Linked DNA regions of Nothobranchius furzeri. The main gene of each other region encodes a partner of the protein of the gene in region 2 in a complex. Links are inferred from orthologs where the notes say so. Each region holds a gene or a part of one and is shown on either strand. Other genes may lie near its edges. The genes, in order: snrnp40, crnkl1, plrg1, cript, eftud2, bud13 and rbmx2.

Region 1 (4,062 bases), on a different chromosome or scaffold from region 2:
TATGGTATTAAATGAAAACGTTTTTTTTAAATAAAAAATATAAAGTTAGCTGTAGTCATCTAATATCTCCTATTTTTCTTTTTACAGATCCATTACTGCTTTAAAGGACTCACTTCACTCAGCTGGTTAATATTACTAATACTGGTATTTCATTTTTAAAGATTACAAGCTCTCAGCCTTCTACCAACCTTCCTTCCTGTAACCAGGCAGTCGAACAAAAGCTCCATATGTTTGCACTGAAACCACCTCTCCCTTGGCGATGCTGTACATCGGAGGCAGACCATCCAGCCCGGCTGGTTCTCGACTCGAGCGGTCACGGTTGGACATCGTCTCAATCTGGGCAAACAGTTGGAGGATTAAATATATTTCAATTCAATAACACAACACAGATAAAAGACGAAAGACGAGGAAAAGTTAAAGAAACCCAAAATAAAAGCAATATTGTTCCTTTTACAAAGTAACAGAATAAATTTAAGTATTTATATTGTGAATAAAAATTATTAAATAAAAATCCATAAAACTACTTTCTACGACAACTATTATGTTTTCACAAGTCAGGAGTAGGCAATAAATCAAGTTCAGTTGAAGTTATCCTTCAATTAAAATGTTTTTTCTTCGTTTTCATTAAGAATTAAGCTCAAATAACCCAGTTTAATAATATTAAAACTAGACTAAAAAGACCAGCCATGGTCTAAATTTTATTTAAACGGTAACTGCATATTTTCTAACACTCCATACATGTGAAACAGACTGAGAACCAAACACAAAAAAATAAATAAAAACAAAGAACACAGACAAAAATTGCAGCTGTCAGATTTAAAGAAACTAGGCTAATCTCAAAAACGAACAAATAGAATTATTAATATTGTAAATCAGTTTTAATTTTCAAAACATGGATTTATCTTACCTCAAACTTCACTTTCCATTACATTAATTCGAGCGGAGTAAAAACTATAGGAGACAATATCTCTGGAAACATGAACAGGATAAACGCAACACGAGCATTGGTGTTTACATAAAACCCTCTAACCTATTCCTGTTAAACTGCTCTATGATACATTAGTAAACCAGACAATTGTGCTATAATTAATATATTTTGCGTAATGTGACTCTAACTCTTAAGAAATAAAAATAATTGCAATACCTTTTCCACCGACTAAACTGTGCTAGTTATACTTCCAGGTCAAATTGACGCCAGGAAGAAAATCAGCCAATCACTGCAGCCTGCGCAAATTTCCACCAATCACGAGCTTTGAACCCGGAAGTACTTCAGTGTCTGTCTTCTTTGGTGGTTTTGTTTCCTCAGACGTCTTTCGTCGAAGACGTCCGTTAATTTTACTAAGTTTTAGCTTTGCATTTACTCTATTTAGCCGCTTTTTGTTAACTTTCCCCGCAATGATTGAACCTCTAAAGAGACCCGGAGACATGGCGATGGTTCCCACTGCGCTGAAGCGGCCACGGATGGAGCTAGTAGCGGCGGCTCAGTCTCAGCAGCTCGTGGCCACGGTAACGTAGCCCTGGTGACATCCGACTGCGTTTACATTCAAGATTAAATCATACTTACCACCTTTATAGTAGTTATGTTTTTAAGTTTGAGAAAAGGGCAAGCTATGCTAGCCGGGGACTTATGTATTCATTAACCGGACCATGTAAGCAGATTTAGTCACGTTTTCATGATTAATGTAAACATCAGAATAGTTGACAATAGAATTCAATATGCAAAAAAACTATTTTCAAGAGCGTGTTGGTTATTGTAATTATGTATTTTATTGGTAACAATATTTATTATTAAAACAGCCTTCCTTTTTAATATTTGATTCAAATAACAAAGCATATATAATAAATAAATAAACTGTCAAGATGATCAGAGTTCACTTGTGCATCAAAGGTAAAATATATATACACAGATATCACCTTTTATCATAATGCAAGCTTAAGGAAACACCAGATTGTAATTGCCACTGGTGCAATTAGGATCTACTTCCAGCTCCTACATGATTAAAGGGAGCATTTACTTCACTCTCTTTGCTAGATCTCAGCAAGTCATCCAGCTCGTATGCATTTAAAGTAAAGTACCACTTGTTGTTTCTGCACCATAATGCTGCAAACCTAAATCACTGATCCCCATAGGGCCATCCACGCACCTCCAGCATGCAGGCTCCCATCATGTTGATGTCTGGCCATGAGGGGGAGGTCTACTGCTGCAAGTTTCACCCCAATGGAGCTGTGTTGGCCTCTTCAGGATTCGACAGACTCATATGTAAGTTTGTGTCAAACAGTAGCAGACATATGTTTGTTAAAACCGCTTTAAAATCTCTGTTACCATGCTGCAGTGTTGTGGAACGTGTATGGAGACTGTGAGAATTACGCCACCCTGAAGGGTCACAGCGGAGCGGTGATGGAGCTGCATTATAACACAGATGGCAGGTAGAGACGGTGGAATATGATCAACTAATATCTGGTGGATTATTGCGGAACTTGAGTCAGAAGTGTGATACAGAGGTGTCTGTGTGGTTCAGCTTGTTGTTTTCAGCCAGCACGGACAAGACTGTTGGCGTGTGGGACAGCGAGACAGGTGAGAGGGTCAAACGTCTGAAGGGACACACCTCCTTTGTTAACACCTGCTATCCAGCTCGCCGAGGTCCTCAGCTGGTCTGTACAGGAAGCGACGACGGGACGATCAAGGTCAGGCTGTTTTCTGGGTGTTTTGCTGTGAAAATGAGGTCCAACACACACCGTTCACACACACCTACATTGTTGCACGTTTTGTTTAGCCTGATGTTTTTTGTTTTCTAGCTGTGGGACATCCGCAAAAAAGGAGCCATCCACACCTTTCAGAACACCTACCAGGTTCTGGCCGTGACGTTTAACGACACCAGTGATCAGATCCTGTCTGGAGGCATCGACAACGACATCAAGGTTAAAAAAACAGTTTTTCTTAAAGGGACTCATTAAACTGTTTATCTTGAAGAAAGTCAGACTAAACATTTTAATCCCTTTAACAACAGCAGATGGTTGCAGTGATGCTCTGTTTCAGCCATTTTAAAGTTGATTGACTGAAGATGTTCAGTGAGATTTATTGTCAGCCCTTGGTTGTTTACATTTTTGTTTGCTTCAACTCCAAACGCAAGTTTATTTTTTGTTGATTGTTGCAAAAATGTGAAATGTCGAAGGCAACAAATCGGCTCCAGCCTAAAATTCTCTCCTGGTCGTTGATCTGAAAGCTTTGTGTTGCTCAGGTGTGGGATCTGCGACAGAACAAGCTGATCTACAACATGCATGGACACGGGGACTCTGTAACCGGGCTCAGCCTGAGCTCCGAGGGGTCATACCTTCTGTCGAACTCCATGGACAACACTGGTATGCTCGGCTTCTGATCCTGCTCATCTGTGCTTGAATCGCATCCCTCAAAGAGTCTCGCGTGTCTTTGCAGTGCGAATTTGGGACGTGCGGCCGTTTGCACCCAAGGAGAGGTGCGTGAAGATTTTCCAGGGTAATGTTCACAACTTTGAAAAGGTAATCTTCACTAGCAGACAAATGAACAATTCACTTCTAGGTCAATCTGAGAAGTCGTACATATCTGGACTAAAGAAAACCGCTTTTTAGCTGTGAAAGCTCCGGGTCTGTGTTCTTCTCATGTCCTCTTTTCCTGTTTATTCAGAACTTGCTGAGGTGCTCCTGGTCCACTGATGGCAGTAAAGTAGCCGCAGGATCAGCCGATCGGTGAGAAACGCTTTGGTGACTTTTTAAACCCAAACGGAGTAAAGATAAGGCACTGAGAGCCACTTTTGTTCCCCGCTCTGTGCGTCTGCTACAGATTTGTGTACATCTGGGACACCACGTCTCGCAGGATCCTCTACAAGCTGCCGGGCCACGCCGGTTCTGTTAACGAGGTGGTGTTTCACCCAGAGGAGCCCATAGGTGAGCGACAGAACAGGAACCGGAACCAAACACAAGAAAAAGTCACTCATTTATTCTTTTCTGTGTCTTTGCAGTGCTGTCTGGCTCCAGTGATAAACGTCTGTACATGGGTGAAATCCAATAAGGTGTGTGTGTGTGTGT
Region 2 (4,262 bases):
AGCTCACCATGATCTTTCTGGAGTTCTGAAGATTCTTTTGTCGGATTTCAAACTGAGCATGAAGCAGCCACATCTTAGCAAATGTGAACTGAAAGAGAAGAGAAAGCACGTCACAGCCTGGTGGTGGTGGGGGGTTACATCATGGTGAAGTTCTAAAGACCTTCTTGTGAGGGATCAGCTCCAGACAAGCCTGGTAAACCTGCCTCGTCCTCTCCGGGTCCTGCCGACACATGTCACCGTTACACCGGTCCGTCAGCGCCCTCTGCAGGAACGCTGCAGGACCACTGACCTTGGTCTCCAGCTCCTCGTACAGAGCGTAGTTGATCCACAGGTAGATGTAGCGCCTCCAGTGTCTCTTCTCCTGCAGGGGGGGCACATTGGCAATGGCTCGTTCGTAAACCTCTCTCACCGTGTCGGCGTCCGCATCGCTCTCCACCAGCCGCAGGTAATCAAACCAGGCGTCGTAGTTGTGTGGGTTAGCCTGAAGGACGAGAAGTTGCTGAGTTTGGGCCACACAGCAGAACACCTGCCTCTGCACACCTGAGCCCAGAACCAGACTTCATCTCTGACCTCCAGACAGGTGAAGTACCTTCACTTCCTCTTCGTACTGGAACCTCCGTTTGCTGACGATCACATCTTCGATTCCTCTCCGGTCTCCAAACTTCTTTTCAAACATGGTGTAGTTCTTGAAGAGCTCCTGGGCCTGATGTTTGGGGATTCTGTCCAGTGCGTACTTGTAGATGACTCGAACACGCTCAAACTGTCCAGAACAAGAACAGAAGTAAGAGAATCCACCCAAACAAACCCATAAACAAAGTTCTGATAGCACCCACCTCCTTCTGTGTCTCCTCAAACTTGGCAAAGGCCACAAACAGGTTCTCCTCCACGTGTTCCTCCCCGAAGAACTCCACAGCCCGCTCGTACACCTTCCTGCTGTGAGCCACATATCCGTGCTTCTCCTCGAAGCGAGCGTATTTGATCCAGTTCTTCACCTCCGGGTGAACAAGGACGAGTGAAGACGAGTTAAAGAACTTCCTGTCTGTTCAAAACCACGCGCAGCCCATCAACCACCAGAACCAGGGTTAGTTAAAAACCGGGTCAGAAGGAACAGAGATGTTCTCCAGTACTCTGTAGGATCAGGTTTAAGGCATTATGGGTCTGAATCTGTAGCTGAACCGGGTCACAGATCTTTGGTGTTTTAATTCGAGTCTGACTGGACCTGTTCCGGTTGTTTTTATGGAACGTGTGTTCTAACCCCACCATTCTAGGTTCTACTGGGCTCCAGTAGAAAGGATATAGTGCTCGTAGATGGTCCGGGCTTTGTCCACCTCCTTGTAGCGCAGCTCAAAGTTGATGTAGGAGTGCCAGGCCTGTTCTTCGGGTTCCCACTCCATCCAGCGTTCAAACACCTGCCTGCAGCCAGCCACGTTCCCCAGCATCTCCTCCATGTAGGTGTACTTGTACCTGAGCAGAACATCAAAAACGTTCCAGCACACACGTGAAGGCTCTGACAGAACCCCAAGCTATAGAGTCCTACCAGAACTGGTTGACCCGTGGAAGGATGGTGATAGCTCTGTCCCAGATGTTACGAGCATGATTCACCTGGCGGCTCTTCATCTCCATTTCGGCGTACTTCAGCCACAAAGTGACATTGCGGTGATCGACGTCCAGCGCTCTTTCATAAATGGACCGGGCCCTGAACCCAGATGAACAGTGTTTAAACAACTAACCAGGTTACCTTAAACCTCTAGTTCCAGCTGTGGTGATGACCTAAATACCTCTGGATCTCCTTCAGACTTTCCTCCCACTGAGCGTACTTAATCCAGTTACTGATGATGGTCCGGTTCTTCCTGATGTTGTCTTCAAAAGCCTGAAACACAGTTAGACCAGTACCCATCAGACGTGTTGTTTACCTGTTAGACTAACCCACCCATGGAGGCTACGCTCTCTAAATCACCTTCCTCTTCCTCAGCTTGTAGTCGTTCAGCTCCTCCTTATCGGTGATCTTCTGTTTGGGTGGCGGAGGCAGAAGCTCCAGCTCCCTCTCCTTGGCCTCTCTCAGCAGCTGCTCAGCTGTGATCTGGACCTCAGCAGGAGCTTTGTTCTTCACCTGGAAAGCAACACAATAAGCTTCAGGACCACTCCTCGGTACCACTCCTGTCCTAGAACCAGAACCAGGGTCCGGTGCGATTTTACACTCTTTAAAACCAGAATTGGCCAAAAAGTCTTTCTGCGTTTTACCAGAACATTTGATCGTTTTTGAATTTACAATTTTTTTTTTGTTTTGTTTTTCTGGTTATGATCGATGAGCCGGGCCGGACCAGAACCAGTGAGCTGAAACATTCTAGGGTTGTGCTGATAAATGGCACTTCAGGTCCAGCATGGCAGAACTACTGGACCTTAGCAGTGATGCTGAGATCCCAGGTGACCGGAACATCTGGGGGAACCAAAGCTCCCACACATCCAGGAGCAGCCTCTGAGCTCCCGGTGGAGGACAGGAGCTCGTGTCTCTGGACCCGGGCCATCAGAACAGAACTCACGGGTCACTACAGCTAAACAGTAATGCGTTAGCATTAGCTTAGCCGCTCTTAGCTCCGCGCTCCGGTCCGCTTACCTTCGCCACCTTCGGTATCCGCTGTTTCCCTGCCGCCGTGGAGGCCATGCTGCCGGTGTGTCGGACCAGACGTTCTCTGTAAAATAAAAGGTCCCAAAGAAACGACTGTTTCAAAGCTTAAGCCACATAAACGTTCCGTTTGCTGCTCCAGCCACCATGACAGTACCCACAATGCTCTGCGACTTCCGGTACGTTGGTATAGCAACGGAAGTTACACAAAGGGAGAGAGTAAAAAACTCAATTTTTTGTACCACGTGACTGAAACCCTCCTAGCTGCAGACGTAGCCCCGGCCAAACACCCCCCACCCCCCACCCACCCCGACAAAACACGCCCCCCTGTTGAGATACCCCCGAGCTCAATAACGGCGGCCCTCCCAGCGAACAACACAATTGAAAGAAAATAAATATAGAAATAGTAATAATGTAATTAAACAGACAGGACTCCAGGTTTAAATATGAATGTATGGATTTTTTTGGCCATCCCCAGTGAGATTATTTTTATTTCTTGTATACACACTTCATGGCCATCCCCAGTGAGATTATAAAACACAGATACCACCAACAAATAATCAGTTGCCGTACAATAGGCACAACATACCTATGCTTACTGACGTTAGCAGGTGAGTAATGTATGTGCAAGTGTTTATTTTAAATGCAATAAAATAAAATATCAGAAAAAGTAATTAGTGGTAATCGTTTTAATTAACCCCTTAAGCCCACTGACCCCCATTTTTGGGAGCACGCCTCCTACAGCAACATTTAACTTTCAACCATTTGTTATTACAGGCACTAACAGTAGGTCTAAGTTCATACGAGTGAGTAGTTAATATTTATGTTACTATCTGTGATTTTTTTATTGCTTCTTTACAGTGAAAAGCTGCTGCTGTGTAATTTTTAGGCATATTTACATGTGTATATATGCATTTCATATATTCTGTTAACAGGAATAATTGCTGGCCCTTTCACACAAAATGTATTGATTTAGAAATTACTAAAATATTTTGCATTAAGTATACAATTCACAAGACTAGTAAACTGATATTGACCATACACTAATCTGTAAAGAATATACTGTAAACACAAAAGCAGAAAAGTTTGGCTTTAGAAAAAAAAGTTCTGACAAATGAAACAACCAGCAACAGCTTTTATTGGCCTTACAAATACCTTCCAAAAAATAATAATAATAATAAATGTCCACACATTGCTACAACCTCTTGAAAAATTCAGATGAGTCCAGAGCTTTTCTGATTTTCTCCGAGTATATGAGCAGTTCCATGGCATAGGACATCAGCTGCCTCTCACTAGTGAGACAGAGATAAATAGCAATTAGTAAAAATGACATTTACACCTAGAGGCTGTCATAACCAATGTGAAAACAATACATATAGGAATTAGCACTGTTCTTGTGTTTGTAGAATACCTCCGGGCTACCACATTGCCGTCGTGAGTTTGCTGTTTATTAGATGAGGAGTCATAAACGGTCAAATAAATAGCCTATTGTTACGTTTATTTTGGCCAAAAGGCTTGCATGTAGCCCATTAAAAATTATATAAAAAATTTGCGTCCATAACGTTTTCCCCCACTGCCAATAATGCTTAATTTTATAAAAAAGGGTTTCAGAAAAAAATTACGAAGGCGCTATCTGTCA
Region 3 (4,052 bases), on a different chromosome or scaffold from region 2:
CATTTTTCAGAAGGAACAGAGATTATATTCTCAAATGTTCCAGCTCTGAATAAGAACTTACACTTAGGAGTTAATAAGAAGTCAGGCTGGTTGTTTATTTTGTGCTCACAATTGAACAAATGATCTACTCTGAGTTTTGTTCTGGTAGTATTTGTACTGATGCATCATTACATTCACCTCAGAAAGCTATGGTTGAGTTCAAACTTCATCTGACTCGCAGTAAATTCCAGTGCCATGTAAAAAATAAAATGTGGGGTTTTTAGCTCAGAAAATTGAGCTGTATGACTCTGCAAATAAACACTTGAGTGTATTGGTATGAAACGTGATTTTCAGGACTGCTCCTACCAAATTCAATTTACTTTATCTGTTTCTCTACGGACTATTTTCAAATGCATTAGAACGTTAATTATTATTTAAATCTTTTAACATCAGTTGACATAAATTTTAATTGGTTGTATTTCTGTGTTACTGTGCATCATGAATTAATTTAATCTGTCAACCTTGTCAATCCAAATTATGTTATTATTGTTTTTATTTTTGATAATAATAATAATAATAACAATTTTATATTGCACCTCTCAATTAAAAAATCACGAGGTGGTTCATATAAAAATAAAAATGACAAAAAACATTTTTTCTATTATTTAAAAAGATCGAAGCTTATCGTTGGATCCTGAAAAAGATAGAATTAACAGAAACACCAGCTTGAAAAGAAGCTATTGAGGAAGAATAGGGTGATCATGAGGTCACGCAAAGCCAGACAAGTGAAAAGCATGTTGCAGGACAAGCATGAGGAGACGAAGGTGTGGATGAAATCTGAAGTTCAGAGCATGACAGAACTGACATGAGAATCCAGGGTGAGAGCTGGGTCAAAGGTCACGCCAAGATTCCTGACAGAAGGTTTGGTGTGAGAAGCAAGCTGACCAAGAGAGTCTTTGACTTTGGGAACCAGCTTGTCTGGGGCACAGATGAGGATCTCAGTCTTATCTTCATTCAGCTGAAGAAAGCTCCCACCATCCAGGTTTTGATAGAGTCTAAAGCAGGTGTGTAACAGCTGCAGTTTAGATATCTCATAACTAGCATGGTGGGTCATTTGATAGAAAATATCCTTAATAACAATTAAACATTTAAATAATAATTTTATGCTTTATTCATACGTTGAACTGTCACATTTTAGCCCTTGATGATGAACAGGAAAAGTGGTTGAATCATCCAAACCGGTAGGTGGCGCTGATATAACTTTAACAACTCTTGGTCGTGTTTACTTCCGGGTTATCTCAAACGTTCGGTTTGTCGTGGTGGTCAGGAGGATTTATTTTACTACCAAGTTGTACTTACCGAGGCAGACCTTTATTTCCTCCTCAGTTTTGTTCTATCGGTATATTCCTCTATAAAATGACGGAGGTATGGATTTATACATTCATGTATGTCTTTTGTGTCCGCTAGGATGTTAGGAAACGTCCAACACACTCCCGGGCCTGTCTATTTACTGGAATTGATAGCCTTTTTCTGCCCGTTTCACTGTTTATTGAGTGAGAAATAACTTTTTATTAGGTTGTTATATGCGATGTTTTTTAAATAAAATTCTCGCTTTTTACAGGATGTCCAGAAGCACTCTGTCCACACATTGGTCTTCAGATCGCTGAAAAGGACGCATGACATGTTCGTAGCCGACCATGCTAAAGCTATCGCTCTGGATGACGAAAGGTAACCCAGGCTGCTTCCAAAGTGTGTTTGTAAATATTTACAGATCAAACCTCACTAATGTTTTCTAATGCGCCGGGATACGTTTTTTGCTTAACGTTCAGTGAAGAAACATGGATGTTTGCTCAGCTTATATTTTCTGAGGAAACTATTTTTTACGGTGTTTAGAGTTGTTGCTCAATTAGATAACATTTACATTTTGGCGGTATAACATGTATATGAATGACTGTGTTTGCAGTCACAAACAGAAGATGGGTGTGAAACTAAAGACAGAGTATGGACCAGTTTTACACATGCCCATCCTAAAGGAGGGCAGAGAAAGAGTCTCACATCATCCTGACGGCATGCTCAGCCATCAGAGCTACCCACAGCTAGGTAAGGGAGCAACACACTGTGACTGTTTCTTAGTTAACCGTCAAAATAAATATTGCATAGTTTTATGGATCACATAGATTGTTTAACTTCTTTTGAGCGATTAAGCCAAAGTTAATAATGTTTTCACTCTGTTAAAACTATTTAGGCGATGATCCAGAATACCTGATTACCGGGACCAATGCTTATCCATCTGGACCAGGTAGATTTGTTTTCTGCTACTTTAGGAATCCGCACTACTTTTAATTTTGTGCTAACAGTAGCTTGTGCTCCACAGGTGTGGCACTCACCGCCGACACTAAAATCCACAGGAATCCCAGTGAAGGAGCGGTGCACTCCTTGACACTGGCTTTACCACCCTCACTAGCAAGGTAGGCTATTATTTATTTTTAATCCATGCTGGTAACAATTTGGCATACAGATCTATGGTTAAAATAAATATTCTGACATACTCTATGTCATGTACTTTCAGGCAGGACGCCAGTCGCACTGCAGCCAGCGTTGCAGAGATCCATAGACATGCAGGAGTAGCAGAGAGAATTCACCCTCCGTCCACTGCAGTGGTAAACCACAGTGAATTTACTTTTCCAGAATGCTTGTTAGTGCTTATAGAGTCTTAAAAAGACGTGTAAAGCTAATAATCCAGTAGAGATTGGGTTTCTTTTCTGCAGTAGAAAATCACTAATTTGAAAATAAATTAAAAAACAAATAGCGAGCTCAGCTAACTTTAACACCATGGAACTTTTATGTTGCTTATTCATTCTGGTAGTGTCGCATCAAATTCTGTAAGCAGAACAGTGTTGCAAGACAGAATGCTTCACAAACATACAAAACTAATTTTACAATATAAAAATTACATTATAATGCTAATGAATGTGTCGTTCAGTTGGCCAGTTTATTTCTACTCATAAGTCTTTCATGCTACTTAAAAAAAATCCTTAATGACCTTTTGAAGTATATCTTTTAGTCTCTCTTAGATGGAGGTGGCACCAGAAACTCAGCGCTCATAAGGAGAGCTCCAACAATGCCCAAACCTCAGTGGCATCCACCGTGGAAACTGTTTCGGGTTCGTAACAACTGTTTCACAAGTTGTCTTGCATTTGTTTACAACATTAATAATTAGAAGCTGCCTTGTTTAACTGTGGTGACCGTTATCTGTCAGGTTATCAGCGGACACCTCGGCTGGGTGAGATCCATCGCCGTGGAACCGGGAAATCAGTGGTTCGTCACGGGGTCAGCAGACAGAACTATAAAGGTCGGGCGGGCTGAGTAAAACACCAGCTTTTATGTGTTTGTTATTACATTCATTCATTCATTCTCCATAAATACATATAAGCAGTAAAGCTCTGTTGATAGAGGGATCAGTAATGGTCTAGGGTTTTAAACTGCTTTTTATATTCTTTATTAACAGGTTTAAGCTACTTTTTGTCTCTAATGGTAACAAGTCTCAGAGGACTGAACCTGTCTAGATTTGTTATTAGACTTCATCTTCTCCACCAAATAGTTTTTCCTATTCTGTAAAGAGCTGTTATTGATCTAGAGCTGGTAAAACATTCAGGTTGTTGTATTTTGTGTAGGTGCAGACATTGCAATACAGTTTTTTAAAAAGAAATCCTTTCAGTATTTAACCCTTACCCAACGTTTACATTTTCTAACGTTAATGTCATTTGAGCACAAAAAAATGCTTTAATGTTAGGTAAGGGTTAAAACGTTTGGGAGTGATACCAAGGTGGCTCTGTTGCTGTTAAAGCTTCTGTGATGATCCAGAGATAACTGGAAGGTGGTTGTCTCTACAGATCTGGGACCTGGCCAGTGGGAAGCTGAAGTTGTCTCTGACTGGACACATCAGTACCGTTCGTGGTGTAGCAGTGAGCAGCCGCAGTCCGTACCTCTTCTCCTGTGGAGAAGATAAACAGGTCAAGTGTTGGGATCTGGAGTACAACAAGGTACGTTGTTTGGATTAGCTCAGGGTCATC
Region 4 (4,226 bases), on a different chromosome or scaffold from region 2:
GCACAGTTCACTTCCCAATAGCAGCAACAGCCTTATATCATAACCACATAAGTGGAGAAAATGCTCAGTAGCAATGAGAGAATTTGCTGTTCCATTTAAGTGATGTTAACTATTATTTAACATTTAAACTTATTTTCTGATATTTTTTTATTTATTCAAAAACCCTGGTAAGGGATGTTTTTCTGCATTTGGAGCATCAGAAAAAGTTTTATGGTGGAGGTGATGTTTTAAAGTCACTGAGAAACTGCATGCATGCAGTTTATTGTTTTGCTACTAATACAGTAGCAGGTGCAGCTGCATATTTTTGCAATAAAAATGTTATGTTGTAATGGAATTCATGCATTAGTTTTGTTTGCTTTGAACCCAGAGCAGACGTCACACGCCAGACGACATCAACACTGCATACTTTAGTATTTGTTCATTTATCGTGAGTAATATCGATATCGCAATATTAAACACTGTTATCGAATATCGCAGGTTTTTCTAATATCGTGCAGCCCTATTCCTAATTGTGAGTCTACCTAGGCATCATCATGAAGACATACCAAAGGCAGCAGGTTCAATGGGACACGTAGGCCTTGAAATCATTATAATAAAAAAGAAAACTTCAGCAAACTATAAAGATGATTTGTTTCACTGAGCATCTTCCATGTTTGATGAACCATCTGAAACATGGCCACTCCACTCTTTCATTTCCTGCAACTAAGACAGTTTGCTTCAATGTTCATCAAGATATGCCTTTTTAGATAAAGCCCTGTTTACATTTCATCATTCAGCCTAAATACAGTACAAACACACTGTATTCAAACAAACCTATCGAGAATGGCTCTAGATTATGCAAGTACAGTCTCTGTTGATGTGAGGCTGTAATTTTCTCCGGATTCTGACACTAAGACACACTGAAAAATGAAAACATCTGAGCAGAAAAGTCACAAGTTGAATTGTTCAACAACAGACAAACATTGCAGTTTCACAACTCGTCCCAGTTACTGTCACGTTTTCCTATAGGATGCAGATGGATTTGTCTCAGAGGAAAAGGATAATGTTGTTGGTGACATGATTACATGTGAAAAACTCAGCAGGGTGTTGAATAGAGAGCATGTGTGTGTGTGTTTTATGTAAAAGGGCTAATAGAAATGCTGTAGCGTTTTTGTGACACAAAACTAAATCTTCAGCACAATCACTTCATACCTTTCTTGTAAGCGCAGCCCTGGCAGTAGTGAGATCCAGCCTGATGAACTGAGCTTTTGCAGATCCTGCAGATTGCGAAGCCAGTCTTGCTGTAAGGGTCAAACCTGATGAAAATAATTGTTACACACATGACCAGTTATATCAGCTGACCACTTTGAATTAGTAATATACAACATTGAAAAACAGTAGCTAAACCGTTGTGTGACTTCTTCTGAGGAATAGTTCAGATAAGAGTTCATTATGATGGGCTTTTTAGGAAGATTTAAGAACAAGGTGTCACCTCATATTCTATACAAATCTTACAATCAGACTAAAAACCAAATGAGAGCTACTCCTTTTCTGTTACTAATAAGGTTCACCAGATATTGTCACCTATTCCCTTTAACTTGTATATGGACGATCTAAGTTTTATTTAACTAAGAGAGCATAAGAGTGGATGAATGGGGAAATAATGACCAATCATCTCATGACTGCTGAAGATTTGATGGTCTTTTACTCTTCAGAGCAGGTTTGCAACAGTTACTTAAGAGTGTGTTCCAGCTATGATGTAAAAATCAACTGTTATGATTGCAAGAAATGAAGAAGATCAGGATTTAAACGTGGTTCATAAAGTAAAATACTAAGGACAGATGATTAATGATGATTCATGTGGTGATTTGTGCCAATGCAGCAAAATGTATGCCCAAGCAAATATGGTGGTGAGAAAGTTTTATATGATAAGGTTGAACTTTAGTAAAATAACAGTTTTTGGTTCAATTTCAAGAAGGTAATTTTAAGATAAGTATATTAATGCGTTTAGAATATTTTCTCTGACTTCTCATATTTGTATTTACATTCATTAGATTGTTGTAATTAAAGTTTATTTTTTTCTATAAATTGTTTTTACTCACCTGGCTTTTTTGGATGTCAAAATCTTGTTCTCATTTAGCTTACGTCCTCCACTCTCTGACACAAAGAAAGAAGACAAACTTGTTAAACACGGACATCTAAATGTTACTATACCTATACTAATATAAAAAAAATAAACACCAATTAATTTATATTATGGCGTGATCAACCAAATGAGGACTAAACCTGCTAGTAACGTGAAAAAATATAGAAACAATGATTACATTTTCAAAAGTAACTTGTAAACAAGACAACAAGTCTCATATCTAGAATAATTAACAAACAGCAATTTATCATACTGATGGCAAAAAAACATTTCACTACGCATTCCTCGGGTCACCTGTTGTATTCCGTGCTCCGTCCTTCCAAGTGTCGGGGGTAATTACTTTTCCCAGTTTCTTCTCGCCTAAAATATAAAACAAAACAATTATGGAGGAAAATACAATAAGAACTAAACTATTGGCCTTCTAGTTTGCATTTGAGACTTTCGCTGACAAAAGTAACGTTCATCAGATTTTAAAATGAACAATACGTCTGAAAATCAGAAGCAAATGACATACATACACTTTTCACAGACCATCTTTGCGGTGTGTCGAATGACGCAGTAGAAATGATCGTTTGTTAGCTTTAGCTTGCTTTGCTAATGTAAACGTCCGGTCAGCTGAGGCATTTCAAATGACAGGTTTCATTGGTTGCTTTAACGAGTAACATCTTCTGTGATTGGTTAAAACAATTGAGTTACGCAACGCGAACTATAACTTACTACTTCCCGTTTATTTGCTTATAGGTTCTTCAAAATAAATGTTTGATAAAGTCAAGCACTTTTACCTTATTTAACCCAAGCGTATTCATTAGCAGAGATTGAGTAACAAGTAAAACATACACCTTTTTCACTTGAAATTGAAATAAACTGACCCGATAATCTATGATAATATGTTTCGAAACGGATGTTTTTTCATCATTCACCTAAGATGTCTGTGCGCAGTAGACTTTTACTGTGAAATTAAGCGGACGTTCTTACGTCTTCGTGTTTACGGAAACGCGGAAAAGAAATACATAGACCTGACAGTTTCCCAATGTTACCTTACGTTTTTTAGGTGTTTTATTTGACTTCCCCGCATCGTTATCGGGTTCTTGTTGTAAATAGTTCACGTCTTCATCATGTGGGACCATGAAATTAAAGCTATGGCGTCTACTCACGCGATTATCACCGCCTCGGTGTTCATGGCCACGGTCATCCCCGCGGTGTTTGTCCCGGGCTTCTCAGTGTATGGGACTCACCTGCTGTGGGTCTACGCGGTGTCCGGTACGGTGACCTGTGTCAGCGTCGCTATCTTCTGGCTGCTCGGCATCTCACCGCCCACCAAAAAGCACACACTGGGATACAAGGTGCCAAAACAACTAGATAATGTTTTTAAAGTGAATTGTTGATTATGTTCGACATATAAATGTATTATGTGATATGTGAAGGTATCTTATGAATTTTACAAAATGTATTCGTTTGTTATTATTAATATTATTATTATTTGGACAGGGAAATGGACATCAGTCAACTTGCTTTTTAATTAAATTTAATAGATGTGTGAAAATGAAGGTAAGTTTTGGATATTGTAAGGTGAGGTGATGAAAAAGTAGAAATTGTAAGCGTTTCTTGTTATGATCTATTTTATTTAGGTGTGAAAAAAGTAATTGTCTCTTAACACATTTCATATATTATTTGTTTAATTTTTTGTCCCACTTAAATGGTTCAGATCAAACAAATTTCAACATCAGGCAAAGAGAACTTGAGTAAACTAAACTAAATGCAGTTTTCAAAGGATTATGTCCTTTATGAAGGGAAGAGAGCTAACAAAACCATCCGAGTTTCATTTCATTTTAATTCGGTTCATCCATGATCTAAACGGCTCATCTTTAGCGCTAATCATCATCAGATGAGAGCTAGGGGACATTCTGGACAGGTCTCCAGTCATATAGAAGGACAAACAACCATTCAAACATACACTCTCCCACCTAGAGACTATTTAGAGTCATTATTGAACCCTTTTCATGGATGTGTCTGGTCCATGGGAGGAAGCAAGTTACTGGAGAAGGGCCACACAAGCATGGGGAGAACATCCTAACTCCACGCAGAAAGGCCATGCAGGCAG
Region 5 (3,500 bases), on a different chromosome or scaffold from region 2:
CAGAGCTCTGTGTCCAAGCACATTAACAGACAGGCGAAGGGACGGAAAAAATGTGGTAGAAAAAAAGTGTACAAGCTCTAGGGATAACCGCACCCTGCAGAGAATTGTGACGACAAACCCATTCAAAAATGTGGGGGAGATCCACAAAGAGTGGACTGCAGCTGGAGTCAGCGCTTCAAGAACCACCACGAGGAGACTCATGAAAGACATGGGATTCAGGTGTCGCATTCCGTGTGTCAAGCCACTCTTGAACAAGAAACAGCGCAAGAAGCGTCTCGCCTGGGCCAAGGACAAAAAGGACTGGACTGATGCTGAGTGGTCCAAAGTTATGTTTTCTGATGAAAGCAAGTTCTGCATTTCCTTTGGAAATCAAGGACCCAGAGTCTGGAGGAAGAGCGGAAAAGCACAGAATCCACGTTGCATGAGGTCCAGTGTAAAGTTTCCACCGTCAGTGATGGTGTGGGGTGCCATGTCATCTGCCGGTGTTGGCCCACTCTGTTTCCTGAGGTCCAGGGTCAATGCAGCCGTCTACCAGGAAGTTTTAGAGCACTTCATGCTTCCTGCTGCTGACCAACTTTATGGGGATGCAGACTTCACCTTTCAACAGGACTTGGCACCTGCACACAGTGCCAAAACCACCAGCACCTGGTTCAAGGACCATGGTATCCCTGTCCTTGATTGGCCAGCAAACTCGCCTGACCTTAACCCCATAGAAAATCTATGGGGTATTGTGAAGCGGAGGATGCAATACGCTAGACCCAACAATGCAGAGGAGCTGAAGACGACTATCAGAGCAACCTGGGCTCTCATAACACCTGAGCAGTGCCACAGACTGATCGAGTCCATGCCACGCCGCATTACTGCAGTTATTGAGGCAAAAGGAGCCCCGACTAAGTATTGAGTGCTATACATGCACATTCTTTTCATGTTCATTCTTTTCAGTTGGCCAACATTAGAGAAACAAACATTTTTTCATTGGCCTTTAGAATATTCTAATTTTCTGAGATACCAGATTTGATGTTTTCATTGGTTGTCACCTATAAATATCAAAATTAAACGTAATAAACATCGGAAATACATTGGTCTGTGTGCATTGCATGAATATAATGTACAAGTTTCACGTTTTGAATGGAATTACTGAAATATTTTCAACCTTTTGATGATATTCTAATTTACTGGCCAGCACCTGTATATGCAGGTAGCGGTGCTGCGGCTGCTTTATATAGCAACTCGTTGCATTCTCCCTCAACCCAAATCCTCGGATCACGCGTTTTAGCTAAAACGCTAACGTTAGCTTGCCTTGCGTTGACTGTAGAGTTGTGGGTGATGGTCATGAGATTTGAAGCGTTGCTGCCTTTCACAGACACTTTTTCTGCACGTGCTGCAAACAGGATAGCCGTCTTCTATCAACTGTCCCTCGGCATTCTTCATATATCCAAAACATGTCCATGATACCCACTTTGTCTTCTTTGAGGGATAATAAATGTCCTGAGTGCTGCCGTCTCCTCCTCTGGCCATTATTTCAGCTTTAGCTTCAAGAAAGTTTTGGTTGTAAACAACAAAGCGCGCATGTGCCGCCGGCAACTTCAGCAGATGATACGGTGGCTGGTAAGGGTCATGGCGCCTACACCGCAACCACGGTAACCCACCGAGATAATATTTTGTTAAAAACAAGACGGTTATTATTATTGTCAACTTTTTTACCGGGGTTTACCGCTACACCGGTTACCGTGACAACCCTACTTTATATACAACAAGCTTGTATTTTTGCACTTTGGCCATCACTCCAGACTTTTCCCATAGAAGAAAAACTTATTTCTAGACAAACGAAGGCGGTTCAAATCCAGTCATACCGGTGAACTCTCCGAAGAATCGGTTACAGACCAGCCGAAGCAGAGGCCTGATGTTCAGTTTCAGCTCCTCTTTGGTCAGGTGGATCCCAAGCTCATCCAGAACTCGAGGGAGAGAGGTGTCCACGTCTCCGACCACCTGGACACAAGGACAGTTACACACCGGGCAAGCTGGACCTGAGTCTGATGGACGAACGGAGCACTGAGGAAGGCATGTTTAACCTGTGAGAGGATCTTGTAAAGAGGCTCCAGGACAAACTCCACAAAGCTGCGCTGAGAGTTGCTGCTGGGAGCTTTCTTTGTGAACTTGCGACTAAACAATAAGCAGAAAGGAATTCCTGAGTTATGTGAACAAAGATCAGCTCCACGTGTGCGGACACTGAGACTCACGTTTTGGGGTTGAAGTAAATGTCTCCCCAGAGCCGCTTGGCAAACTCGTTGTAGTTGATGTCCCCTACGGACCAGAGTCAGGAGTGAATTAGTCCTGAGAGAACTACACTGTAGTTACAGCTGCTTAAGGATGAGCCTCTCACCGTAGGTGTCCGAGTAGATCTTTGCAAACGACCCCAGCGTGAAACAGATGCTGTACTGAGAGCTGGCAAAGCACACGTTTCCAAGGAGAGGAGACACCACCAAGTTCTCATCCGTGGAATACGTGCTGAAAAGGAAGACAAAGTCTCTTTTTATGTTAGATCTGCAGATCAGTATGCACCAATACCAGATATTTAAAACAGAGTACGAGTACTTTCTAATTGCCACTTCAAATCATTTGAAATTGTTGAAAAAAAAATGCTCCTTTTTGTTTGCTTTTATGGAACTACCCACTGTGAGCCACATTTAGTGTACCAATGTCTTATAGAAAATACAATCTTAACAGAAAACGACAGGAATCCAAGATCTGAAGGCTCCTTAGCCAGAATCAGTCTCACCTCTTCTTTCCACCAGCCGTGAAAGCGGTCGCGTAACGTAACAGCAGCGGTTTACCCGCGAGTTCATTCCCAATCAGGACTGTTTCTGATGCAAAAAGGGAGTGAGAGCTTTCCACGCTGTCGACCCCAGGATGTCACAAAATCACAGGAGAATTGCGACACTACACGTGATTTCAAAAGTCCACACACAATAACAAGCAAGGAGAATGACACTGGGCTGCGCAGTGGCGCAGTGTTTAGAGCTGTTGCCTTGTAGCAAGAAGGTCCTGGGTTCGCTTCCCGGCCTGGGATCTTTCTGCATGGAGTTTGCATGTTCTCCCTGTGCATGCGTGGGTTCTCTCCGGGTACTCCGGCTTCCTCCCACAGTCCAAAAACATGACTGTCAGGTTGATTGGTCTGTCTAAATTGTCCTTAGGTGTGTGTGTGTGTGTCTCTATGTTGCCCTGTGATGGACTGGCTCTCTGTCCAGGGTGTACCCCGCCTGATTGCCCGTTGACCGCTGGAGATAGGCACCAGAGCCCCCCCCCCGGGGACCCTACGTGGACAAGTGGGTTCAGACAATGGATGGATGGATGGAGAACAACACCTGCATGTATCAAAAAGGTCTGTTGTTTATGTTCTGTTCTGTTTACATCGGCTACGGGGGTTACAACCGGAAAGGATGTACGTTTACCTGCGTGTGACTTTTATTTTGAAAGTTTCTGGATGTTCTACACTGCTT
Region 6 (4,016 bases), on a different chromosome or scaffold from region 2:
TCCGCCTGTCGATCTCCCGATCCCTCCTACCCTCACTCGTGAACAAGACCCCGAGATACTTATATAATTATATAATGCATTTCATTAATATGCATTTGTATCAGAAATGGTAATAACATTTAATTTTGGCTGCTAAAAATGTAATGGTGGCATGTCTATTATGTACGGGTTGGCAATAATCCAGTTCAAATTATGTTGAAAGATAGAAGCGTCTGTTAATTATATACTACAACGGCTTGCCATAGCCGTTCCATTCAATTCAAAGATACTTTATTAATCCCAGAGGGAAATTAGAGTTTCAGTACACACAATTCTGAGATCAGACATACATACATAGGCATAGACACATGACAAGAATTGGTGACTGTGGTCATTCGCGACCCGGAGGGTTTACATAAGGATTGGGTCAGGTGGAGGGAAAAAAGGCACTTCAGAGACAGGGAGGGCAGCTTTGCTATGCAAAAAAACACCTCAGACAGAAATGCAACAGACTTCAGACATTACACAACATAAGTGTCCACTAGGTGGGGTGGTAGGGTCTGGGACTCTCCACACATCAGTGCATGCAGCCGCGATAAGCAGCGCTCGTCACCTCCGTTTGGACAGGGGAAGGAGGTATGTGGGTTAGAGGGCACAGTGACTCCTGGAAACGATTCAATGGCCTTCACCGGTCGCAGTCCCACCCAGGGTGGGATAGGGAGACAGAGTTACCATGGCGACTGCAGCATTGTGGCAGTAATGTGACTCGTATCTGCAGCGGTTCTGATCCATAGCGCTGCAGGATGCAGAATAAACAGGATGGTGGGGACTTTTCATCCGCTTGTAGATTTTAGTCTTTCTTAGTTTTACCATCATATATTTTTCTGTGCACCACTTGATCGTGAGACTGCTAACCGTTAGCTTTAGCATTAGCCAATCTGCGTGTAGCTGCACTTTTGATCCCAAACTTTGGACCGGTTCTGCCTTTGCTGGTTCCTGTATTTTCCTCCACTGCATCCAGATGACCACACTGCGCCGGTAAAAAGCATTTTTCTTACACGCAACTAACTTTGTTCAATAAAGTTCTGGGGAAAATAGTAATTCAAAGATGTTGCACCAGTGCTACGTTTAAACATAGACAGACACGCACAGACAGTTCTTTTCGTCACACTGTACAGCTCTGCTCTGATATGGAAGAGCCTGGGGGAAAATCAGGATGTCAATAACACCAACCATAGATATGTAACTAGCGAGAAAAGCAGTTTTTGATCTTCTTTGTCTGCAGTGGTTTTAGTGCTTTTCGGTGCGCCGCTGCTGATACAGCGCCCCTGTAGGGGCGTAACGCTGCAACTGCAGTTAAAATAACACCCATATAGCTGGGGGCAGAGTGAAATCAGGCTGGGGCGGCCGAATTTGAATGCAGGAAAAACCCTGAATATGCTTCAATCAGTGGTGGAGAACAGGATGCTAAAACAAATGCCTGTCCATGAGAGACACAGAAAAAAACGTTTATCACTCACCTTTATATCGGCCCTTTCCTGATTTCCCTGAATGCCCTCTTGAAGGTGACAAGTCTGGAGAGTCGTGGCGACCTCTCCTTGGAGGAGATGTGTCCGGAGAGTCATGTCTTGCTTTTCTGATGGGAGAATTGTGTCTCATGTCTTTTGATGACCTCTCCGGTGAGTCTTGGTGAATTTTGCTAGATTCCAAAGACTCTACACGTTCCCCCGTTGTTTCATCTTCCTCGTTCTCATCAGCTACAGGGAAGACTAGATGATGATTTTCTTAAACAAAGGAACAGATTTTGTTTGTGTTTCACGTTTACCTCCAACTATTTTCCATCTGTTGCTGGTCCTGAAGACTTCCATCTGTTTCACCTCCTCTGGTCGCTCGTCAATGAATTCAGCAATCTTAGTGGGCACACAAATTTATCCATATTGCATTTCCATAACATTTGAGGAAACATCACTCATTAGAACCTTCTAATAAATAAAAGTTTGTGTTTTTTTGTCTCTGTTTATGTCAGAATTCAGCTTTTTTTCCCTCCTGGATTATATGGACAGATTACGCAAAAAGATTTTTTTTCCACAAATTAAATTATTATTTGTTGCAAGAAAAAAAACTATAATTTTGCACTTGTTTAGCCCTGTTTATAGTGCAAAATATCTTCCTCTTGATCTTTTTAAACAAAAATTATTAAAATGGCACAAAAACATTCTAAGTATTTTGACCCACTTGGGATCAAGTTTTAGTGTCTAAAAACTTGTGAATACACTTTCATAAACTCAACCCAATGTATGGAGTCTAAAACTGAACGCCTGTCTTAATATTGCCAGAGATTACTGAAGGGAGAGATTTGCTTTAAAAGCGTTTGAATCGAATTAAGGTCTTTCGAAAAAGCTAACGTTAGCTAGCTGTTTACCACAGGAGCTTCTTCTTCTTCCTCCTCTTCAATCTCCTTCGGTTCTGTGACCATCTGTCTCCAGTCTATATCATCATCTACTATTTTAAGTCTGAAATAAAAGGAAAATAATAAATGTCACCAAGTAACAAAAAAGCGATAACTGACACAGTGACTAGCGAAACAGCTAGCATACAAGTGAAAAGAAACTTTATAGAACTCTCTCACAAACTCACCCTTTTTCAGGAACTTTGCGTCGTTTCTTTTTTATCTTTCCTTTTGATTTACTAGCATCTTCGCTGGCTGACAGATAACGTTTGAGGTACTCAGCTTTAGAAAGCTCAGCTCCTTTACTGACGCCATTGGAGGCAGCCATGTTGACTGTTGTCCGAAACTACGGATAGCGCGGAGGATCAAAAGGGGTAAACCGCTCCACCATCCTTGTTATGGTATATATTTTTCTTTTTAAAAAATACCACAAGAGTCATAATCTGGCTTTTGTTGTAAAACTGAAAATACTCAATTGCTAAACAAGCCGCTTATCTTTTTGATGTAAAAATGGATGAGCTATGGCTTGATTTTCCATCTAATTTTTGCTAATAAATAAAATAAAACAAATAGAAAAATAAAACGAATAATTAACACTGACAAACAGACATTTTTTCCCTCATTTTGGACACAAAAGCATCACATTAACAAGTGTTAATTTTGATAATAGGAGTCTTTCATCAGGGAACCAAATCAGTAATTAAAAAAAATAATACAAATAATAATAAAAAAAAACAAGTGGTCATTTGATTCTTGTTTGGAAATACAAATGATTAAAACAAATACAATTCAATTTTGTGTGATAAAATAAGGATGGCACAGTAAAACAATATTAGATTTTTTATAATGAAAAAAAAGAAGAATTAATGTTTACTTTAATTCTATTTGCAGAAACAAAGACGACATTTGTTATCACCATCACCATTCTGTCAGTGCTGTAGGAGACATGCTTTAGCTCCATTTAGAAACTGACTCTACTCGATAGACACTGAACACGTTATTGTTCCCAGCAGTAACTCAAAAGTAGTGATGATTTAAGATCTTTAGCTTGAGGAACTCAGTGATGTCATCATAATGATTTATTTAGGCCCTGGATCTGTCTATCTCTCTCTCTCTGACACACACACACACACACACGCACGCACGCGCGCGCGCACACACACACACACACACACACACACAATGTACTTTGATGTTTTGCATCTTTTTTATTTGTTCTTATCATATTTTAACAAGTTTTTGTTGCCTCCTTGTTGCACCTTTTTGTATTCATTATTTATTTGCTACCTCATTAATGACTGTAACTTTATCTCGTGGTGTATGGTGGCTCAATCACAACCTCATGTAGCAGCTGCTCTGTAGAAACATTTGTTTAGATCTGTTTTACACACTTAAATAAAAACAGCAAAATGGTCCAATTTTACCCCCAATAAGTTTAATGTACTTTAGTTTTAAGCCATTAAGAATTGTGCAGTTCAAATCACTTTTATATAAAAGTGATTGAATGTCAAAGCTCTCAGACTCATAACCCAGATTATCACACAACTCTTTCAGTTCCCAACAAATCCTCTGAGACCTAAAAGACATG
Region 7 (4,132 bases), on a different chromosome or scaffold from region 2:
AAATGCTTCACGAGTTCGCCAACGTGTTGCTTTGTAAAAGTCTCACCCGTCCTCAGGTGTTGGACATCAGACATGAAGTGTATCAGGTGTTCAGGTCAGATTTTAATACGAAACATTAAAACACACACACACACACCATGGATCGGCCAATCACAACCTGTCTATTTTCTATACGGCTCCCGTTTCCTGTTGTCTCCGTCTTTTCTTCTGTCTTCGTCCCACTCCCTCTCTCTTCGTCTTTTGTCTCTGTCCATCTCTTGTCTCCTATAGTCGTCTCTTCTGTCCTTGTCTCTGTCCACCTCTCTCTCACAGTTCCTCCACTTGTCTTCATTCCTGTCTGTCCCCTTTCCTCTCTCCGTGTCCCTCGTCCTCTGCCCTGCAGGCACCTCCTTGTGGTTGTACTTGTCGTAGGCGGCGTCTTGCTTCTCCTCTTTCAGTCTGAAGACTGCAGGAGGAGGAGAAGGTGATGAAGAGGGAGCTCTGCTCTTCTTCCTCTTCTCTTTCTTTTTTTTCTTCTTCTTCTCTTTCTTATCTGAGACAGAAAAGGGAAATAAGTCCACCTGGTCCTAGATCAGGTGACTTTCAGGTAACAGGAAGTGACCTCACCTTTTTTGGGCTTCTTCGCAGGTACGACGCACTGCTCTTCTTCCTCAGAGGAAGAGGGGACAACAGTAGGACCTTTGGGAGCACAGCCCTCTTCTCTGAGATGTTTGGTCACATCGTCCATGTCCTCGTTGTCTTTGGGAGGACGATAATTTTTAACGTGATCCACGCGGATAGTTCGACCTTTAATCTGAACGTTTAAACAACAACAAAAAGATTTTAGCTAATTGTCTCATCAGAGACCATGTTGATGCCGCTGTGGGCCAGCAAGGAGCGGCGCTGGGTCCACACCAGGACCTGGTGAGGACAGGAAGTCACCTTTATGCCATTGAAGTTGTCCACTGCCAGGATGGTGCTCCTCTGGTCCTCATAGCAGATGAAGCAGAACCCTTTAGACTTCCCCGTCTTCTTGTCTCTCACCAGGTTGATGTTGACGATCTCTCCGTACCTGGCAGGTTTGTCGAGAGGAGACAAACGTCACTGTCATGTCAGCTATAACGTAAAGCAGGTGAGACGTAAGCATGTACGTACTGGGAGAAGACACAGATCAGGTCTCCTTCAGTCAGCTCGAAGGGGAACCCTCCTGCAGGAAACGAGACCTCGTAAGCATCATCAGAACCAAACAAACCCACTTCAACAGTTTCATTCATGAGATCCCTTTTTATGTTGTTAATGAACAGAAGCAAATCGTCTCCAAAAGCCCAAAACACCAAACTCATCCCAACGTCTCCACGTGTGAAGGGCTGGGTTTGAGGAGTTCTCACCGATGAAGATCCAGGCACTGTCCCGGTACTCTGTGTGCCAGGAGACGGTCTCGCTGATGCCGAGGTCAGCCTCGCGCTCATTCAGCTCGTTAATCAGCTTCACCTTCGTTAGAGGACTGAAAACACACAAGTTGCTCAGTAAATCGTCCCGTTAGGGACTGGACCTGATTCTGACTCAATTGGAGTTTTATTGTGAAAAGCTGTCAGGACAATTTAGAAAGAAAAACTGCTTTTTGTTTGGACTACAGAGAAAAAGAGTCGAGCTTTTCTATTCAACCCCAACCTTGAGCCTGACCCTAATGACCCTTCAGCAGCAGCAGGCATAATCCTGTTCCTCCAGCAGGACCACGGTGTTCCTGGTCGAGCTGCTCCGTTTCACTTGTTGGCTTGATTTAAATTTGACATTTTAATTCTGAGGGCTGTTGCCTTGCAGCAAGGAGGTCCTGGGTTTACATCCCAGCCCGTCTTTCTGCATAGAGCTTGCATGTTCTCCCTGTGCATGCGTGGGTTCTCTCCGGGTACTCCGGCTTCCTCCCACAGTCCAAAAACACGACTGTCAGGTTGATTGGTCTGCCTAAATCATCCTTAGGTGGCTGTGCATGGTTGTTTGTCCTGTGTGCCTCTGGGCTGCCCTACGATGGACGATGGACTGGCAACCCATCCAGGATGTACCCCGCCTGCATGCCCAGAGACTGCTGGAGATAGGCACCAGCCCCCCAGAACCCTGTGAGGATATGCGGGTTCAGACAATGGCTGGATATACATGTAAATGTGTCCCCTTTGACTTCCGGGGTAAATACGATCGGAGTGGTGTGTTTTATTAGTCGAATGATCTTTTTTTTTGCAGCAGACGTAGAAACATTCATGAGAAAAAGATAACACCACATATGACCAAGCTTGTGGTCCTGTCTTCATCAGCAGTTGACATAAATTATTAGTCAACTTTATCAGACACACTGGTCTAGAATAAAACACGTAGTAGAAGGTCAGGGGTGTAAACAAAACAATAGCCAACCTACACATGATCAAATGTCTTCTTGAAGCATCAAAGATACATGCTACATCCCAAACACAACTGGGTGTTTATGTTTTATTACATGCTCTCTCTGGTTTTTAAGGAAAAAATGTTAAATTATCTGTTTTTTGAGCAGAATCCGATCGGCTACGAGTAGGAGCTAGCTAACAGCTAGCATGCTGCACCAGGATCAGTCATCAAACCGCAGAATAACGAACTCGCTCTTTTTACTTTAACTACACGACAAGAAGTAGAACAGTGTTGTGTCGGTGGTTCGTGTCATTTATGAATACATAAATGTACTTACTTCATAGTTAGTTACAGAAATTAGGGCACAGATCAGACGTTTTATTTGTTGAGGTAGACCACTTCCGTTTGGTTCGTCTCTGCTGCCCTCTGCAGTTTGGAGATCTAAACTACAAGCGATCATTAAACATGTGCAGATTATTTCTCTCGGGTTTATATAACACACCCAAACCATCTAGGTTGATGTATCTGAAGCAATTTCTTACGTAGCTATGAGTTCACTCATCGTGAAGTTAATAAATATAAAGTTATTAATGCAATCCTCATTCAACCTCCTGTCCACAAGGGAGCGCTGTGGGGCTACATGCTAACGGAGCCGTGTCGTAAACCGTAGCTATAACCTGAATATAAACCCAAAACCTTTCTGTCAGGTTAGCTTTGTAACCCTGCAGACAATGAGCTTATCTGGTTGTATTCAGCGTTTCTGAAAACTGCGGCCCTGTGAGTTATTAAAGTTTATCTATAGCTTACTGCTAGCCAAAGCAGCACCAGCCGTGCTTTCATTTCCTTTGAAGTTCTGTTAAAAATAGCCGCAGTAAGATCTGGTTCTTCCAGGTAGACCCCACACCTTCCGCAGGCGAGTACAGCAGCTGTAACCCCTCACAGATCCACCTTTCCGTTAGCGGAACTTCTGTAGTTTTATCTGCAGGTTCTCACCAGTACACAACAGTGCTGTTAACACTTATAATACAATAAATTAGATAGGATTTGGCTTTATTCCAACTCTGATAAACATGTTGTAACGTGACGGAAGTGGTCACTTTTATTAAATGATCAATAAGGTGTGATATTCCATATAAATATTAGTTATCATTATCATTAATCTTGTGCTTGTGATCTTCCTTTCAGGAGGATGATCTCTCAGGTCTTCATCCTGTCCTCCAAGGGGGACCATCTCATCTACAAGGACTGTATCCTTTTGCTTCCAGTCCCGTGAGACTTTACCCTATCAGGAGTTAGAGCTTAACCCAAGCCAACAATCAGACCGAGGCCAAAGAGGAAACGATGTGGTCAACATCTTCTATGAGAAGGTCACAGCGCTGACTGGAGACCAACCTCTGGTCGTCACGGTAACGCCTCCACAGTCTGGGACACATTTAGACCCAAACTGTTGTGTTGTTTTGAGTTCTGATTTGACCCAAACACGAAGAGTAGGTCAAACCAGAACCACTAGATTAGAAGTCACATCAGGATGAAGCAACGATGTTTCGGCGTCTGTTTACTGTCTGAGGAACTGGACTGAAACCATGCAGATGATTCGAGAGTCAAAAGTAAAACAAACCTGATTCTGTGTCCCGCAGAGCGACAGAGACCTGCACTTTGTACATGTCAGACATGAAGGCCTTTACTGGGTCGCCACGACGACAGCCGACTCCTCACCGTTCACCATCATCGAGTTCCTCAACAGGTTTGTTCTGGTTCTAAACAGAACCTTCAGATGGAG

Evidence for each region.
Region 1: crnkl1 (region 2) and snrnp40 share a complex: the UniProt entries of both Homo sapiens proteins name them as parts of the minor spliceosome. The link is inferred for Nothobranchius furzeri from reciprocal best matches to the Homo sapiens genes CRNKL1 and SNRNP40.
Region 3: crnkl1 (region 2) and plrg1 share a complex: the UniProt entries of both Homo sapiens proteins name them as parts of the minor spliceosome. The link is inferred for Nothobranchius furzeri from reciprocal best matches to the Homo sapiens genes CRNKL1 and PLRG1.
Region 4: crnkl1 (region 2) and cript share a complex: the UniProt entries of both Homo sapiens proteins name them as parts of the minor spliceosome. The link is inferred for Nothobranchius furzeri from reciprocal best matches to the Homo sapiens genes CRNKL1 and CRIPT.
Region 5: crnkl1 (region 2) and eftud2 share a complex: the UniProt entries of both Homo sapiens proteins name them as parts of the minor spliceosome. The link is inferred for Nothobranchius furzeri from reciprocal best matches to the Homo sapiens genes CRNKL1 and EFTUD2.
Region 6: crnkl1 (region 2) and bud13 share a complex: the UniProt entries of both Homo sapiens proteins name them as parts of the minor spliceosome. The link is inferred for Nothobranchius furzeri from reciprocal best matches to the Homo sapiens genes CRNKL1 and BUD13.
Region 7: crnkl1 (region 2) and rbmx2 share a complex: the UniProt entries of both Homo sapiens proteins name them as parts of the minor spliceosome. The link is inferred for Nothobranchius furzeri from reciprocal best matches to the Homo sapiens genes CRNKL1 and RBMX2.

Annotation. Positions count from the first base shown.
Region 1 is NC_091759.1:20,973,206-20,977,267, forward strand, and holds the start of snrnp40 (U5 small nuclear ribonucleoprotein 40 kDa protein), read left to right. Parts: upstream 1-1,262; 5' UTR 1,263-1,395; coding exon 1,396-1,506; intron 1,507-2,130; coding exon 2,131-2,260; intron 2,261-2,333; coding exon 2,334-2,427; intron 2,428-2,519; coding exon 2,520-2,685; intron 2,686-2,796; coding exon 2,797-2,919; intron 2,920-3,239; coding exon 3,240-3,360; intron 3,361-3,433; coding exon 3,434-3,516; intron 3,517-3,661; coding exon 3,662-3,723; intron 3,724-3,817; coding exon 3,818-3,921; intron 3,922-3,995; coding exon 3,996-4,045; 3' UTR 4,046-4,062. Other genes in the region: zcchc17 (zinc finger CCHC domain-containing protein 17), read right to left, coding at 189-327. UniProt on the Homo sapiens protein: Required for pre-mRNA splicing as component of the activated spliceosome. Component of the U5 small nuclear ribonucleoprotein (snRNP) complex and the U4/U6-U5 tri-snRNP complex, building blocks of the spliceosome.
Region 2 is NC_091742.1:17,433,302-17,437,563, forward strand, and holds the start of crnkl1 (crooked neck-like protein 1), read right to left. Parts: upstream 2,801-4,262; 5' UTR 2,663-2,800; coding exon 2,615-2,662; intron 2,111-2,614; coding exon 1,958-2,110; intron 1,871-1,957; coding exon 1,779-1,870; intron 1,697-1,778; coding exon 1,538-1,696; intron 1,465-1,537; coding exon 1,298-1,464; intron 1,013-1,297; coding exon 834-1,012; intron 761-833; coding exon 590-760; intron 482-589; coding exon 290-481; intron 221-289; coding exon 161-220; intron 89-160; coding exon 8-88; intron 1-7. UniProt on the Homo sapiens protein: Involved in pre-mRNA splicing process. As a component of the minor spliceosome, involved in the splicing of U12-type introns in pre-mRNAs.
Region 3 is NC_091744.1:17,230,025-17,234,076, reverse strand, and holds the start of plrg1 (pleiotropic regulator 1), read left to right. Parts: upstream 1-1,252; 5' UTR 1,253-1,395; coding exon 1,396-1,404; intron 1,405-1,600; coding exon 1,601-1,707; intron 1,708-1,942; coding exon 1,943-2,079; intron 2,080-2,224; coding exon 2,225-2,278; intron 2,279-2,353; coding exon 2,354-2,447; intron 2,448-2,548; coding exon 2,549-2,639; intron 2,640-3,043; coding exon 3,044-3,142; intron 3,143-3,238; coding exon 3,239-3,331; intron 3,332-3,872; coding exon 3,873-4,022; intron 4,023-4,052. UniProt on the Homo sapiens protein: Involved in pre-mRNA splicing as component of the spliceosome. Component of the PRP19-CDC5L complex that forms an integral part of the spliceosome and is required for activating pre-mRNA splicing.
Region 4 is NC_091756.1:43,772,589-43,776,814, forward strand, and holds the start of cript (cysteine-rich PDZ-binding protein), read right to left. Parts: upstream 2,801-4,226; 5' UTR 2,660-2,800; coding exon 2,644-2,659; intron 2,486-2,643; coding exon 2,420-2,485; intron 2,137-2,419; coding exon 2,082-2,136; intron 1,296-2,081; coding exon 1,192-1,295; intron 1-1,191. Other genes in the region: pigf (phosphatidylinositol-glycan biosynthesis class F protein), read left to right, coding at 3,241-3,468. UniProt on the Homo sapiens protein: As a component of the minor spliceosome, involved in the splicing of U12-type introns in pre-mRNAs. Involved in the cytoskeletal anchoring of DLG4 in excitatory synapses.
Region 5 is NC_091745.1:13,636,704-13,640,203, forward strand, and holds part of eftud2 (116 kDa U5 small nuclear ribonucleoprotein component), read right to left. Parts: intron 2,509-3,500; coding exon 2,384-2,508; intron 2,305-2,383; coding exon 2,241-2,304; intron 2,164-2,240; coding exon 2,073-2,163; intron 1,990-2,072; coding exon 1,854-1,989; intron 1-1,853. UniProt on the Homo sapiens protein: Required for pre-mRNA splicing as component of the spliceosome, including pre-catalytic, catalytic and post-catalytic spliceosomal complexes. Component of the U5 snRNP and the U4/U6-U5 tri-snRNP complex, a building block of the spliceosome.
Region 6 is NC_091750.1:44,767,950-44,771,965, forward strand, and holds the start of bud13 (BUD13 homolog), read right to left. Parts: upstream 2,801-4,016; 5' UTR 2,757-2,800; coding exon 2,617-2,756; intron 2,493-2,616; coding exon 2,402-2,492; intron 1,890-2,401; coding exon 1,805-1,889; intron 1,737-1,804; coding exon 1,500-1,736; intron 1-1,499. UniProt on the Homo sapiens protein: Involved in pre-mRNA splicing as component of the activated spliceosome. As a component of the minor spliceosome, involved in the splicing of U12-type introns in pre-mRNAs.
Region 7 is NC_091750.1:26,772,697-26,776,828, forward strand, and holds rbmx2 (RNA-binding motif protein, X-linked 2), read right to left. Parts: upstream 2,801-4,132; 5' UTR 2,695-2,800; coding exon 2,690-2,694; intron 1,484-2,689; coding exon 1,368-1,483; intron 1,187-1,367; coding exon 1,135-1,186; intron 1,052-1,134; coding exon 922-1,051; intron 794-921; coding exon 607-793; intron 533-606; coding exon 162-532; 3' UTR 83-161; downstream 1-82. Other genes in the region: ap4m1 (AP-4 complex subunit mu-1), read left to right, coding at 3,538-3,599, 3,673-3,758, 3,990-4,096. UniProt on the Homo sapiens protein: Involved in pre-mRNA splicing as component of the activated spliceosome. As a component of the minor spliceosome, involved in the splicing of U12-type introns in pre-mRNAs.